Linked DNA regions of Notamacropus eugenii. Each later gene encodes a partner of the first gene's protein in a complex. Links are inferred from orthologs where the notes say so. Each region holds a gene or a part of one and is shown on either strand. Other genes may lie near its edges.

Evidence for each region. Proteins that work in one complex are often made in the same cells at the same time.
Region 2: SMU1 (region 1) and PRPF38A share a complex: the UniProt entries of both Homo sapiens proteins name them as parts of the spliceosome B complex. The link is inferred for Notamacropus eugenii from reciprocal best matches to the Homo sapiens genes SMU1 and PRPF38A.

What each region holds. Positions count from the first base shown.
Region 1 is NC_092874.1:312,785,861-312,793,619, forward strand, and holds the start of SMU1 (WD40 repeat-containing protein SMU1), read left to right. Parts: upstream 1-4,743; 5' UTR 4,744-4,897; coding exon 4,898-4,923; intron 4,924-5,975; coding exon 5,976-6,186; intron 6,187-7,759. UniProt on the Homo sapiens protein: Involved in pre-mRNA splicing as a component of the spliceosome. Regulates alternative splicing of the HSPG2 pre-mRNA. Required for normal accumulation of IK.
Region 2 is NC_092873.1:512,531,332-512,538,344, reverse strand, and holds the start of PRPF38A (pre-mRNA-splicing factor 38A), read right to left. Parts: upstream 3,016-7,013; 5' UTR 2,683-3,015; coding exon 2,553-2,682; exon of another isoform or gene 2,219-2,552; intron 1,516-2,218; exon of another isoform or gene 1,388-1,515; intron 1-1,387. UniProt on the Homo sapiens protein: Involved in pre-mRNA splicing as a component of the spliceosome.

The DNA of each region.
Region 1 (7,759 bases):
AAAGAACATTTATTTCAAAAACATAGCCAAAACAAGCATAGAAAAATTTTGTTTTGGGGTGGGAGTGATGGGGAGAGGAGGAACTAAGATGCTTCCAGGACAATTGTGATGACATGTAGAAGATGTGCCTTGGAGAGACAGACTGTGGAACATACATAGACATCCTGTAGCTGGTTCTAGTCACTTAACCCGTTATGTGCAAATGAGGAATCTCTTTGACTGACTGAAGAAGGATTCCAAAAAGTCTCCCAGCTTTAGCTCATATCTCTTTACTCCATCCACTTTCAAGGGATCTTGGTGATTCTCATGGTGTTCAGTGAAGGGAATGGTGTCTCTGACCTTGGGAATTTCAAAAAGTCAGTAAATCAAGCCACTCATGAGTCATGTCCCTCATGTTCTCTACTTCATCTTCTCCTCAGGATCCTCCAAATCTGCCATACAACCCCTAACGCTGACCCTGTTCTTCTTCCTCACCACTCTCCTTTCTTTATCTTGACCCCTTGGTGAACTAGTTCAGTTTTACATTATTCTCTATGCTTGAATCCCTTACCCATTTAACCTATTGCCAATCATGCCTTGTCCAGTGCCCCAACCTTGGAATATTCCCATCATTCATTACTTTGGCTCCTATTTACATTCTGCTGAATAGAGCTGGAGAAAATACAAAGTCAATCTGACTGAGTCCAGTACAAATATAAATTATATAATCTCAACTGAGCCCTCACTGAAGCAAGGCAATCCTTTTATACCTCACAAATTGACTCACCATCCCACTCACAACAGGAGGCTATTCCAAACCATTTTGTGACTCCTCAAGCTTCCTATGGCACTATTTCCCCTTCTCTCTCAGCTGAGAATATTGTCTCATATTTCACTGGAAAAAGTGAGATAATTCACCAAGAGCTCCTCCTCCCCCTCCTCTTTCTCATGTCATATCTTATGGGTGTCTTCTTCCACACTTGTGCCTTACACAAAGTCAGCCCTTTCTGAGGCAAACAGGATCCCATTCCATCCCATCTTCTTCAACAGATTGTTTCCTCTATAGTCTGTATTTCCCACCAATCTTTAATCTCTTTTTGTCTACTAGTGACTGCTTTCTTGTTCCCTACAAACATCCATTTTTCCTTGATCCCTAAAAAAAAAATTCTCAATGCCACCACCCTATATAATTTTTCCTTTTAATGCCTAAACTCTTTGATAAAACTATCCACAACCAATGCCTCCACTTCTCCTACTCTTTTCAGTCATTTTTCAGTCATGTCTGACTCTTCATGACCCCATTTGGGATTTTCTTGGCAAAGATACTGGACTGATTTGCCATTTCCTTCTCTAGCTCATTTTACAGATGAGGAAACTCATTCTCACCTCTTACGACTTCTAAAGTCTTTGAAGCCTGACTTCTGACCTCATGATTCAATTCTAAGCACTCTTTCCAAAAGTTACCAGTGATCTCTTAATCACCAAGTCTAATCGTTTTTATTCAGTTGTCATCCTTCTTGACTTCTCCATAGCTCTTGACATTGTTGATAACTTCTCTTTGATACTCCTATTTCTCTCAGTTTTTATAACATTGCTCCTTCCTATATCTTCTCCTACCAATCTGACCACTCTTTAATCTCCTTTGTTGGATCTTCATCCAAGTCATGTCCACTCACTTTGGGAGTCCTGCAAGAGCCTCTCCTTGTCTCTCTTTGCCTTCTATATTATCTCACTTAGTGGTATCATAGTTCCCATAGATTCAATTATCATCTCTATGCAAATTCGATTTATTCAGTCCTAAACTTTCTCCTGACTTTCAGTCTCACAACTCCAAATCTCTTTTGGACATCTCAAACTGGATAAATATGTCTTCTTCAGTCAATTTTCAGGCATGTCCAACACTTCGTGTTCCTATTGGGTTTTTCTTGGCAAAAATAGTGGAGTAGTTTGCCATTTCTATCTTCAACTCATTTTACAGATGAGGAAACTGAGGCAAACAAGGTTAAGTGACTTGCCCAGAGTCATACAGCTAGTAACTGTCTGAGGCATAGATTGGAACTGAGGAACATCAGTCTTCCTGACTCCAGGTCCAGTACTCTACCCACTGTATCACCACTATCCCAGTATGCCTAGAACTGAGCTAATTATCTTTCCCCTCAAACTGTCCAAACTTCTCTATTACTGTTGAGGGTTCCACCATACTTCCAAACACTCAGGCTTACAACATGGGTGTAACTCTTGACTCCTCACTTATAGTCACCCTACTCTTATATAACCCTTCCCCTCATTCACACAACCTCATGCCTGGACTATTACAATAGCTAGTTGATTGGTCTACCTACCTCAGTTGGCTCCCCATTCCAAACTGATCTTTCTAAAGTTAAGGTCCAACCACGACACTCTCCTAAACAATCTAGTGGCTCCATATTGTAAAAACCTTCAAGATAAAATAAAAATCCTGGTTGGATGTTAAACTCCTTCACAACCTGACCCCTTCCTTCCTTTCTACTCTTCTCACACTCTGCTCCTCATCACATACTCTACAGTCCAGCAACACTGACCTCTTTACTATTCCTTACACATGACATTCCATCTTACAGTTCTGGGGATTTTCACTTACTCTTCCCCATCCCTGAAATGTATTCCCCTCTCACCTCCATTTTCTGTCTTCTGACTTCCTTCACATTTCAGCTCAAATCCTCCCTTCAATAAGAAGCCTTTCCCAGTTCCCTCTAGTGCTGGTTCCTTCCCTGCAAGGTTGCCTCCCATATACTAGATAGATAGATAGATAGATAGATAGATAGATAGATAGATAGATAGATAGATAGACAGACAGACAGACAGACAGACAGACAGACAGATAGATAGATAGATAGATAGATAGATAGATAGATAGATAGATACACATCTGTATGTATATATAGTGTTATATATGTAGGTGTATATGTATATTGCATATATGTGGTGGTTTGCATGTTGTCATATGAGTTCCTCAAGGGCAGAAATCATGCTTTCACCTTTCTTTTCATCCCCACCACCTAGTAGAGTACTTCATACATAGCAAGTACTTCATAAATGCTTATCTGACTCAGTTCAAGCAGTTTATCAGTAATTATAAGAATCATTTTGTTACTTATGCTATGATTCTTTTCTTCTTAGCATTACTTTTTATAAGTAGGAATAAATTACTTTTCCTATAGTCAATTTATCTTGTACAGTGAATACTTCTCTCCTTTGTAGGAAAACTTTAGATTTGTGAGCTGTAATCTAATTTGCTACAATCAGCATCTGCTATTCAGTTGTGTTGGATGCTTGGTGATCCCCCCTATGGCTGTCCATAAGAGTTTTCTTGACAAAGATACTGGAGTGGTTTGCCATTTTCTTCTCCAGTGGATTAAGGCAAACAGAGGAAAAAAAAAATGACAGAAATGGAAATGAAAAGAAAGAAAAAGAAAAAGGAAAATGAATTCTGTGTACTGATAATGACCAAATTTGGCACTGGAAAAGAGATTTTAAAATGCACCTCTTTCCCTGTGAAGATGGGAGATTATAGACATGAAACAATGCACATACTGCAAGATTTGGTAGATGTTTTACTTATTTTTGCTCTTTGTGTTTTTTCATTTCTTAGTTTAACCTTTGTTACAAGTAATGGCTTACTGGATAAGGAGGGGACATTTGAAAATGGAGGTGATGTAAAAAACAAAAGATGAAAAAAATTAGGGTAAAGAAATAATCTAAAATGAATGGTTTAAATTTTGATTTTTATGGCCTGAGTCATTGGGAATTATTTTTTTTAATTCTTAATTTTCCCCCAATTATGTGAATAAACATTTTTAACACTCATTTTTTTTTAAATTTTGAGTTCCAAATTCTCTCCCTCTCTCCTTCTGTCCCAAGAAGGTAAGCAATTTGATATACCTTATACATATTGCAGTTCATTTTAGAAGGTAATTTAAGATACTTCTGTTTTCAGGACTTTCCCTGTTTTCAAAAATAAGCCTAAATTATGTTTGTTTGTTTGAACTATCCATTAAAAAGAAAAGGAAAAATGCTAAAGAAAAAGCAGTGGACTGAAAGTTTGAAAGCCTGGACTCAAGTCCCATTTTACCTGCTGGGTGACCCTGAACTAAGTGTCCTCACCCTCTGTGCACCGCAGGGGGGTAGAGAGCACATGACTTTGGAATCAGACCTTACTAGCTGTGTGACTGGGGGCAAGTCATTTACCTTCTCTGGGCATCAGTCAAATGAGAGGGCTGGACTTGATGACCTGCGAGGTCTTGGCCAGCTGGAATCTTTGATGCTAACACTTCTTATAGAACGTTAAAAGCACTTATCTCGTTTCCATCCTCTCTACTCCCTGGAGAGGTAGGTGCTAATTGTCATTTCCATTTTTACTGATTAAGGAACCCAGGTAGCTCAAGAGCTGCTAAGCTAGGGGATCCCATCCACTACACCATGGATGGAGCCTAAGACCTGAGTTCAAATCCTGCCCGACCCTGACAGCCCCTCTGTAAGATCCAGCTCTTGGGAGTCAGGGTTCTGAGACTCGGCCCCCTGCTGTGAAAAGGGAAGAAGACTTCGCTCTGGGAAGCCCTCTCCTAGAGGAAATAGGCTACATCTGCACACGGCCCAGCTCAGGGTCCTGGGGCTGTGGAGCTACCTAGGCTACAGGGCCCTCCCGCCTCAGCTCCACCCACTCGTAAGGCAGCATTTTGGCCACGTGACAGGCGGCCTCCCCGCCCCCTTCCACCGGCTTCCCCCATTCGCCCTGGAGCTGGGGCGAAGGAGGGACGCCTGGCGGAAGTGACGTAAGCGAAGACCGGAAGTGGGCCCAGTTTTCCCTCTTGGTGTGTCCGGTGGGGTTTTTTTCCCCTGCGATCTCTCGGCTTAGCGGCCGTTTTGCGGCACCGGCAAGATGTCGATTGAAATTGAATCGTCCGAGTAAGTGCCGGGGACTGGGGAAAGGCCGGGCCCGCGAGAAGGGAGAAGATGGCGGGAGGCCGGGGACGAATCCTGCGGCCTGCGCTCCGCGGAGGCCCCCTCCATCCCGCCGAGAGGAGGGCCCTCAGAATGCCCTCTAGGCCAGTGTGTTTATCTCATATATGAGGAAACTGAGGCCAGAAGGCGGCGGACGTGGCGCTTGAGAGCGCACACGGGTCGTCTTAGAGTTGGGACTAAAAAAAGCCCGAGTTCATTCCGGGACCCTCCCCAGCCCCCTGCAGGGATAGCCACCGAGCCACTGCACCGAGGCTTCGTGGGTCCAGCCGGTGGGTAGCCAGACAATCCGGGTGCGTTCGATCTGCCCCCAGGGTTTCCGCGTTTAAGGGTCCAGTTCCCTCCTTTCTATTTCTCGATATAGTGAGGCGCTAACTAATATTAATTAAGCACCTTTGTACCCTAAAGTAGAGGGAGCAAGCCTAAACTTGTACTTTTACAGTGATAGAGAACTGTAATTGTAAAATACCACGACGCTCATCGAAATTGAATTGATGATTTGTGTTCTTAACCAAAAATAAGTCAAAGCAAAGGCATTCCGGCTCTGGAGCTGGTATCATAATTAGGAGTTAGGCTCCTGAGTGTTCTCTTCCTCCTGTGCAAAATGAGGAGGAAGAGTTGCTCTCCGCAGATCTTTCCTCGAGAGAAAATGCTACCTCTACAAGTGTCCCCAGCTCAGGGTCCTGGAACTACAGCGAATTCCCCTAGAGCATGAATCTGTTAAGCTGAGGCTTATGTGTTCGTTCTGTTTTTTATGAGAGGCAACAGGATATAAGAGTAAAAAGTAGTGGACTTTGAATCTGGAAAACCAGAGTCCCACTCCCATTTCAGTTTCTTACTAGCTGTGTTACCCTGAGCAAGGGGTTTAACCTCTCAGAACCTCAGTTTTATCTTATGTAAAATTAAGGGATTGGGTTTTATCATTTCCATGGCCCTTTACAGCTCTAAATCTGTTACCCTACGGTTAAACTCATGGTATATATTTCTTCTTTTTTTAGCGTTATACGTCTCATCATGCAGTACTTGAAGGAAAATAGTTTACATCGAGCCTTAGCCACTTTGCAGGAGGAGACAACAGTGTCCCTGAATACTGTGGACAGCATAGAGAGTTTTGTGGCCGATATTAATAGTGGTCATTGGGATACCGTTTTGCAAGCTATACAGTCCCTGAAATTGCCAGACAAAACACTGATTGACCTCTATGAACAGGTAAAATTTAGTAGCAAAAGATTCAAAGGAGAATTGTTCTTAACTCAAGAATGAAATTGTCTGTGTACAACACATTTAGCTTTGATTAGAATTTTTCTCCCTTCTCTGTTCAGCATGCTGTCCTTCTACCTCTACCACTGTCTCATTCCTCCTAAACTCCTCATTGTGACCTCTGGTCCTTCCGTCCCTCCAAGTTCTCTCTGTTATCACCCATATTCAGGCTTCATTTCTCTCCTGCGCAGTGTTAGCCCTGTGTTAACCAGTTCACTGATTTCCACCTTTCTTAAACCCGTTGTTCTCATCTCAACCCTGGTCACTCCAATCATAAAAGTTTCCTCTTTGCTTACTCCAGAGCTAATGGATGTTGCTACAGAAAATATTGAAAGTGTATAGACTAAATCTACAATAAATACATATTCTTTAGCCTCTGCTGAGCTTTCAAACATTGCACAGCAATCCTTTTCTTTCAGTAGCTATTAATACTTTCTCAAGCTTCCAACTTCTCCCCTAATATCTTTCAAAAAATAACCTCCCATGCTTTACTAAGAAGATTGGGGGAAAAAACAATTGAGATCATCCAAATGAGCACCCTCATTCTTTCCTCCATCCCTCAGAACATTATGTCTTCATTCATCCTCACCTCTTTTTTTCAGGTCTCAAGAGTAAGAAGTGATCCTTCTCTTTGTAAAGGTTAATACCCAAATTTGTGTCCTTGATCTTTGTTATTTCAGCAGTTATTGTGTCTCACATCTTCAGCTTCTCCATATTGCCTAGCTTTTTCTGTCATCTACAAATGTATTCTGTCCCATCTTCCCTAATCTTGCAGTACCTCAGAATCACCATCCAGATATCCACATCTCCCTTCCCTTTCAGTTCTGAAAGTACTGAAAGATAAGGTTGCATTTGCTTCCACCACTTCCTACCCATTTTCTCCCCAACCCCTTATAGTCTGACTTTCAAGTTTCACTTGCCAGTAATGCAAGACTGTTTTATTATTAGGAAAACTATAAGTATAATTGATCATATTAACAAAAAAAAAAACAGGAAAGGCTTTTGACAAAAATACAACACCTATTCCTTTTTAAAACACTAGAAAGCACAGGAAAACTGAGGGGATGCTTATCAATTGGGGAATGACTGAACAAGTTAGGGTATGTGAAAGTGATGGAATATTACTGTGTTGTAAGAAATGATGAAGGAGATGGTTTCAGAAAAACGTGGAAAGACTTCTATGAATTGATGCAAAGTAAAGTGATCAGAAGCAGGAAAGCAATCTGAACAGTAATAGTAATATTATAAAACTAATCAACTGAAAGATTTAATTACTAATCAACACAACATCCCACCATAACTCTGAAGGACTCATAATGGAACATACTATCCACCTCCAGAGAGCTGATGGACTCAGAGTGTAGTTGGAAGAATATTTTCTTCTCTTCCTTTCTTTTTCTTGGAACAAAGCGAATGTGGAAATTGTTTTGCATGTCCATATGTTTTTGTTATGGGTTTTGTTTTTCTTGCCTTCTCAGTGGATGAAGGAGGGGATAGGAGGAAGGATAGAATTTAGAACTGA
Region 2 (7,013 bases), on another chromosome or scaffold:
AATTACTCTATCCCTCCAACCTCTTACCATCTGTGTCCTTTCTACATACCCCAAGGTCAGGCTTTAGTGCCCTTTCTGGCTACTATCTAAAGCCCTTCAGTGGCTACCAAGTGCTTGGAGAAATGATAATGATAACAATGATAATTATAACAGCTAGTATTTACAGAGCACTGTGCTAAGTGCTATACAAATAAACTCTCCTATTCATTATCACCATTTTATAGTTAAAGAAACTAAGGCAGAAAGAGGTGAAGTGATTTGCCCAAAGTCACACAGCTAGGACCTGCATGAGGAAGGATTTCAGCCCAGGTCCTCTCCTGACTCCAGGCTCAGCATGCTCCTGAACTACAGATTCCACTAGTACTAAAGGCCTTCTGCTTCTAGCCCCAATCTACCTTTTTCAGCCGGACTTCACACTCTACCACCCCGCCCCACTACACTACTACCTGTTCTCTGCAGCCTGAAGCTGCTATGCTTTGAACCCTGACTCACTGGGGGAAACCTCTCCTGGCCTCAGTTTCTCCCACTGTAAAACAAAAAGGTCAAGCTAGATGCTTTCTGAGTCCCCTTCCAACTCTGACATTTTGGGATAACAGCTTGAAAAATTGTTCTGCTCAGGGGCATTGGCATGGGGGTCAGGAGTCAGAAGAGTGCTGCTAAAAACATGACACTCCTGGTATCTGGGCAGCGGCAGTGGGGTTGGTTTAGGCCGTGAGACACAGCAGTCAAAGGGACCTGGAGTTAGGAAGACCAGGGTTCTTCATTTATTAACTGAGAGATGACAGACAAGTGACAATCTCTCATCTCAATTTCCTCATCTATAAAATGGGGATAATCCTACCTCCAGCAGCTGCCTCCCAGGAGATGCTATGTAATACATTTAGCAAACTTTAAAATACCATTAAGTGGCAGTTATGATTACTATATTGTGAAGGGGCCCTTGTGACCTTTCCGATCACATCGGCGGACAATGTTATTATCACCATCTCTGCATATGGCCCTGCCCTAAAGGCCTGACCAGGCCCCAAGAAATGTTTTCTCCCTTCAACATACAAACACTTCCGGGCAAGTCATTCAAAATAAGATAATGTTACAGCTGGGGGAAGAACCTTAGAATATAAGATGTTAAACTTGGGAAGGATTTCAGTTCAGGGAAGAACTGGGAAGTACCAATGCAAACACACACTTACTCTGCCTTCTGAATCTGAAAGAGCTGCCTTGGCATTCATTCAAGAAGCAGTGACTGATTTCAAGCCATGTGCCAGGCACAAGGTACTAGGGAAGCAGAGGCAAAAATGAAGTAGTCCCTCATCTCTCTTTAAACACAATATGCCAGGCATGTAAAACAAAACTGAAACGTGCAGCTCTCAAAGAAAGGATTTCTTACCAAGGAAGGCAACATGTATCCATAGAAGCAAAAACTAAATACAAGGTAACTGTTGGAGAGAAGACGCTGGCAGCCGAGGAGGGAGGATCCAGAAACGGCTTTGTGTAGGAGGTGGCAGCTGAGCTGAGCTTTGAAAGAAAAGATGGATTCTGAGAGGTCAAAAACAGCAAGACCAGTCTGGCTGACCCACGGCATTTAAATGCCAGAATGTGTCTTTGGCCTTAGAAAAAGCAGGGACCCCCTGAAATGTACTGCGCAGGCGCAGCCCCACCTGTTTCAGCCAAATCCCTTCCCGGGTCTTGGGCAGCCTTCCAAGCCGCAACAAGGCTTTGTCAGTTTCGTTCAATGTTGCACCTTTGTAGCGACCTCACCCAGAGCTCTGCTCCCCGGGCCAGGGTCAAGGACAGCGACCAAAGGAGGATCAAGAGGCAACGCTCTGGGCAGAAGGGGCTGAGTGCCCTCTGCTCCGGGGACCCCACCAACACAACAACCTTGCTGACTTCCCTGCACACCCACTGCTCACCCCACTCTAAGTCCTCGAGGACGGGGGCGGCTCGGACTTCCTAGGCCTAGCATTAAGCACAGCGCTTAACAAATAAAAGCTTAATAGACGTTCGCTCGGCCACATCACCCACGGACAGGCAGCTCCGAGTCTGTCCTCCCCCACCCCGTTCTTGGCCGTGCCCGGCCGGGGCCAGGCACCAGGGACCCCGACGTTCTCCACTATGGTCCAAGCTAGCTCACCCTGGACGTGAACAGGAGCCGGCCGGGAGCAGAGGAGAATCTGGGGTGGGAGAGCCCGGGTTCAATCCTGCCTCGAACGCTTCCTACCTGCGTGCGGCTTTCCAAATATGAAAGAGGGGGCAGGAAGACACGGTCACTTAGTGAGTATCTACTCCGTGCTGCAGGTATGCTGGTGAGGAAGGTAAAAAGGCCTCCCGAAGCCCCTCTCTCAATCAGGCAAACATTTCCGACGCCTTCCCTAGTTCGGCTCGAGAGAAAGGGACTCAGAAACGCAAGGGACCGTTACAGTCCAAAAGTCAGGGTAGGCTACGAGCTCCAAGGGTTCTGTCTGAACTCCTCCCCGGCCGGGGAGCTCACATCCTCCCTGGGCGGCTCGAGACGCGCCGGGGAGATGTCCGGAGCCCCAGCCGCAGCCGCTCACCTGTGAGTCCAAAACACTCCTCCTTCCAGTACTTGGACTCGTAGATTCGGGTCCGGATGATCTTCTCCACCAGGTACTGCGGGTTGGTGCCGTGGATGCTGTGAGCATCCTTCACCGTCCGATTCGCCATCTTGGGAAGCCCTTGGCGCCGCCTCTGCAGCCCTTCCGGCGGGCACTTTCTGCGTCACTTCCGCACGAGCCAAGCCGGGGGAAGCGGGGGGGGGGGGGGGGGAAGCGGGGGCGAAAGCGTCTCGGCGCGGCCGATGACGTCACCGAGGCGGCCACTTTGAAACCGGGCACGCGCCGCGACCGCGACGCCTCTACCTTCCCAAACGCGGCTTCGTAATAATGACGTAACTAGAAACAAGAGCGGAGGGGGGAGACGTAGGGGGCGGAGCGCCTGGACGGCGAACGACCTTTTGAATCTGGGAGGGGTGGAAGAGGGAGGGGGAGAGGCGGAGACAAAAGTCCCGATCCGTACGCAGGAGGGAGGAGAAAGGGGGCGGGCCTTGCGTGACGCGAGGGGCGGGGCCACTCTTTTTTGGCGCGAATTTTTTTTTATTTCAAGCTTCTCTCGGGTGCTGGCGGTGGCCAGGAGGCGAGCAGCGCGCACGCGGAGCGGCGGAGGAAGCCGGAGGGTGAGCCTGGGGGGCCGGGGCCTCCGGGGTGGGGGGGAGCTGGGGGCGAGGCCCCCTCCTTTACACGCGGGGAAACTGAGGCTTGGGCGGCGGGCCGGGCTCGGAAGCGGGGGAGGGGGCTGGCCGAACTGGGGCGGGAAGGGGCCTCCCGTACTGCCCTGCCCCCTCCGGAGCCCGGAGCCCCCCACTCTATGGCGAGGAGCGATCTGCCCCACCCCCACCGCCTTCCTGGGGGCCTCAGGGGCCCGGGTGGGGGAGGGGCTGGTCCTTATCGCAGACCGCAGCTGCCCCGGGAGGCCCGTCTGGGGCCCGCCCTCGGGGTCACCTGAGCCTCCGCATCTGTCTGAGGGGGACGTGGCCCTGGGTCCTCCTCACCGCCCCCTCCCCCAGGGAATTAGGGGCGCCCCGAGCCTTCTCCCGAGCCACTGCCCTTCGCCCTGCGAAGTACCCTCCACTTCCCGGCCTGTGGTCTTGGTTGGATTTAGCGGGCATCCGCTGAGTGCCTGGCCTCGTGGAGATCCTGCCCGGTGGGGGGGTCGGGGTTAAAGGAGGGTTCCTGCCATTTCAGCCTGCTTCAGGCTGATCTTGCCAAGTCTGCGAGACCTTCCTCCCTCCCGTCCCCCTGCTGGGGATGCAGCTACTGTTTCTCCCCCATTTCATTTGAAACCCAGTTAGGGAGCCCTGAGCGCAGAAAGCCAAGGAACTTAGGGGCTTGTGGAAAAGAGCAGGCCCATCGTGGCCAGCAGGAAGCCCAGCCCTCGCTTTGCTGAAAGGATGGATGCCTTGGGGCACTAGATGGGGAAGAGATCTCTGCCAGGCCCTGGGACAGCTTCCTTCTGGCTAAACCTCTAAAAAGTCCAGGCTCCAGTATGGTAGGACAGCTTCTGGCCCAGTGCGGGAGCCTGGGCAAGTGGCTCAAACTTGCTGGCATCCAGGGTGGGGAGAAATGCCCCCTCAAGAGTTCCCCATGCTAGTCCAGGACATGCTCTCCACCCGAATCCTGCTTACTTCTGCACTCCCCACTCAGGACCAAAAGCCATGAGGAACAACTATTTCACAAGGCTCAAGGCCAAACGAAGTTATTCATGGCTCAACTGTGAATTCCGTGACAGGAAACTTCGTCACAATCTCTACAGGTAAGTGATTCAACTCAGCAGGTTCCCAGGCCATGGGTCTGCTTATTGGCACCCAGCCCCCTGAGGTGGGGCTTTCCTGCCATCATGATATTCTGGAGCCATTTAACAGTATTTAGGGTGTGGTCTCTGTGGGGCCTAGGCTTTTCACTGGCTGAGAAGAGTCCCAGCTTTTAGGAAGCGCCTCCTGTGTGCCAGGCACTGTGCTGAGCACTGGGGATACAAGGAAAGACCAAAGACAGTCCGTGCCCTCTAGGGGCTCAGTCTAATAGGGGACACAACCTGCCAACAGTGTGCAGATAGTGTATAGACAGATTGCATGGCGAGGGGGGTTCATCTCAGGAAGGACGCTAAGATGAGGCTCTTCCCAGGTCCTTTTTCTAAAGATGAGACTTAAGCTGAGATATGAAGAAGGCCAGGAGGAGGAAAGTTCTCTTTTTAAAAAACAAATTTGTATCTGTTTGGAGCGTATTTTTGGGGGGTGAGTGTGCACCATCCTTGCTGTTTGTTGTTCACCTCTCCAGACAGCAAGAGAGGCTGGGCCCTATTCCTGGTATGCCAGGAGAGGAGGGTCTTAGAGGCCAGCCTCTGTGATCTGGGGCCCCCCAGTCCACCTCTGCTCCTCTCCTCATCACCCTGGGCACACTTCCCTGGGAATCCTTTTCTGTTCTGGAGATTTGTTGAGTGGGAGGTAGATCTGTGAGGCTTGACTAGTGAGCTCCCTTATCTGGCCTGAGGGTCTTGGTGACTTGATTTCCCTGTACTCTGGGCCACTTGATCCCTGCATTTGCTTTGCAGAAGTATTTGTGTGACATCTCCAAGCAGCAATGTCAAAGTCCAGATCAATGTAGGGGACTTCATACTTGTGGAGTGCAATGATGATGATAACCCATATATCGCTAAGCTGATCAAGCTCTCCAGGGATGGTGAGTTCCCCTGGGAAATGCAGGGCAGGGGCAGGGCTCTGTCCCTAACACCAGGATATTGTAGCTGGGAGGGGCCAAGCCCACCAACTCCCCCGCAAGAGGAAGGCTTATAAACTAGGGGATAATGACTCCTGAGACTTGGTCTCTCGGTCCTTGAAAAGGGAGAGAAAAGACCACCAGGAGCTGGGGCTTAGAGTCAAGAAAAGGGGATGGGTTGGAAAGCAAAGAGCAAATAGAGAGGTTACCAGCTATATACATCTAGTATATTACAGGATGTACATAGGATTGTATTTGAAATGAAAGGCTTAGGCTAAGTAATTTATGAAGTCTTCTCCAGCTCTCATTGTTGTTGGTCAGTCGTGTCTGATGCTCTCATGACCGCATTTGGGATTTTCTTGACAAAGATAGTGGTTTGCCATTTCATTCTCCAGTTCATTTTACGGATGAGGAAACTGAGGCAAATGGGTGAAGTGACTTGCCCAGGGTTGCACAACTAGTGAGTATCTGAGGTTGGATCTGAATTCATGCAGATGGGTCTTCCCGACTCTAAGCCCAGCGCTGTCCATTGAGCCACCAAACTGCCCTTTTTCCAGCTCTAATAGTCTGTAGTCCAATAAGTTGACTGAAATGGTTTGATTGATTATAAGACTGCTGATCATTGAAAAGGGAGGACTGTAAAAAGGGAAAACAAGTCATTTACTTTTAATCAGCTGACTCAGTAGTCCAAAGTGGGCTAGATGGAGTCAGGAAGTCCTGACTTCAGATCTGGCCTCTGACAGTAACTCTGGGACCTGTTTCCTCATCTGTGTAATGGGGAGAAGAAATTGCTGTATGTGTCTAGACCGAGGAGAAAAGTTGAGGGCTGGATGAGTAAACTCAAGCAGTTATAGTCCTAGAAAAGAGGGAGGAGAGGAGGGGATAAGGCCAGCTGTGTCCCTCTTACCTTGTGGGGACATTCTCTGGGAGGACCTAGAATAAGGCAGGTAAGAGACAGAAAGCTAATGAAGGGAGCTGTTAAATAGCCATCAACCTGCAGGCGGTAAATGGCAGCACCAGGATGGGAAAGGGGCCTTTGGACATGAGTGGCTTTGGCAAAGGTCCCTTCCTGGAGGTGGAGGTGGTCCAGGAGAAAGTCAGGGGTAAGGAGCAGCCCCTGTGGGGGGACTACCAGGAGGACACAGGAGTAGAGGCGTGAAGGGAGAACAGGGGATGCTGAGAGTCAATCCAAGGGAAGCTTGGTCCCCAAGAAGAAGAATGGCTGAGGAGGGAAATGATTTTAAATGGAACAGTGTAGGCAGAATCCCCTAGGGGACCTGGAACGTCTTAGAGAATGGCCATGGCATTGGGAGGGGTGCCCACAAAACAGCCGCGTGAGATTTGTGAGAGCCTGACAGTAGTGAGCAGCTAGCAGCAGCAGGGTAAGTGCATCCCTTTGTTCTGGCTGAGGTGAGCCTTTTATGTCCTGACAGTGTTTGGTGGCTCTTGTTTTCTTTGAGGACTGGTCTCAATTGTTTCTGATCTTGGACTTCGGGTCATTTGCATGGCTTATTTAGACACCTATATGCCTGTGGTTGTACTAAACATCCTGTGGTGGTCACCCTGCCCAGACAGGCAGACTGGTGAAACTAGTGACCCTCTCTCAGAATCACCTTCTTAAGTGCCTAAAATATAGTTATTAAAATGTTTTTGAAAAACAAGGGCCCCAAGCTAAGACCCTTTGGTAGATGGCAGCTCTCTCCCATCTGACTTTTGAGGAAGTGAAGG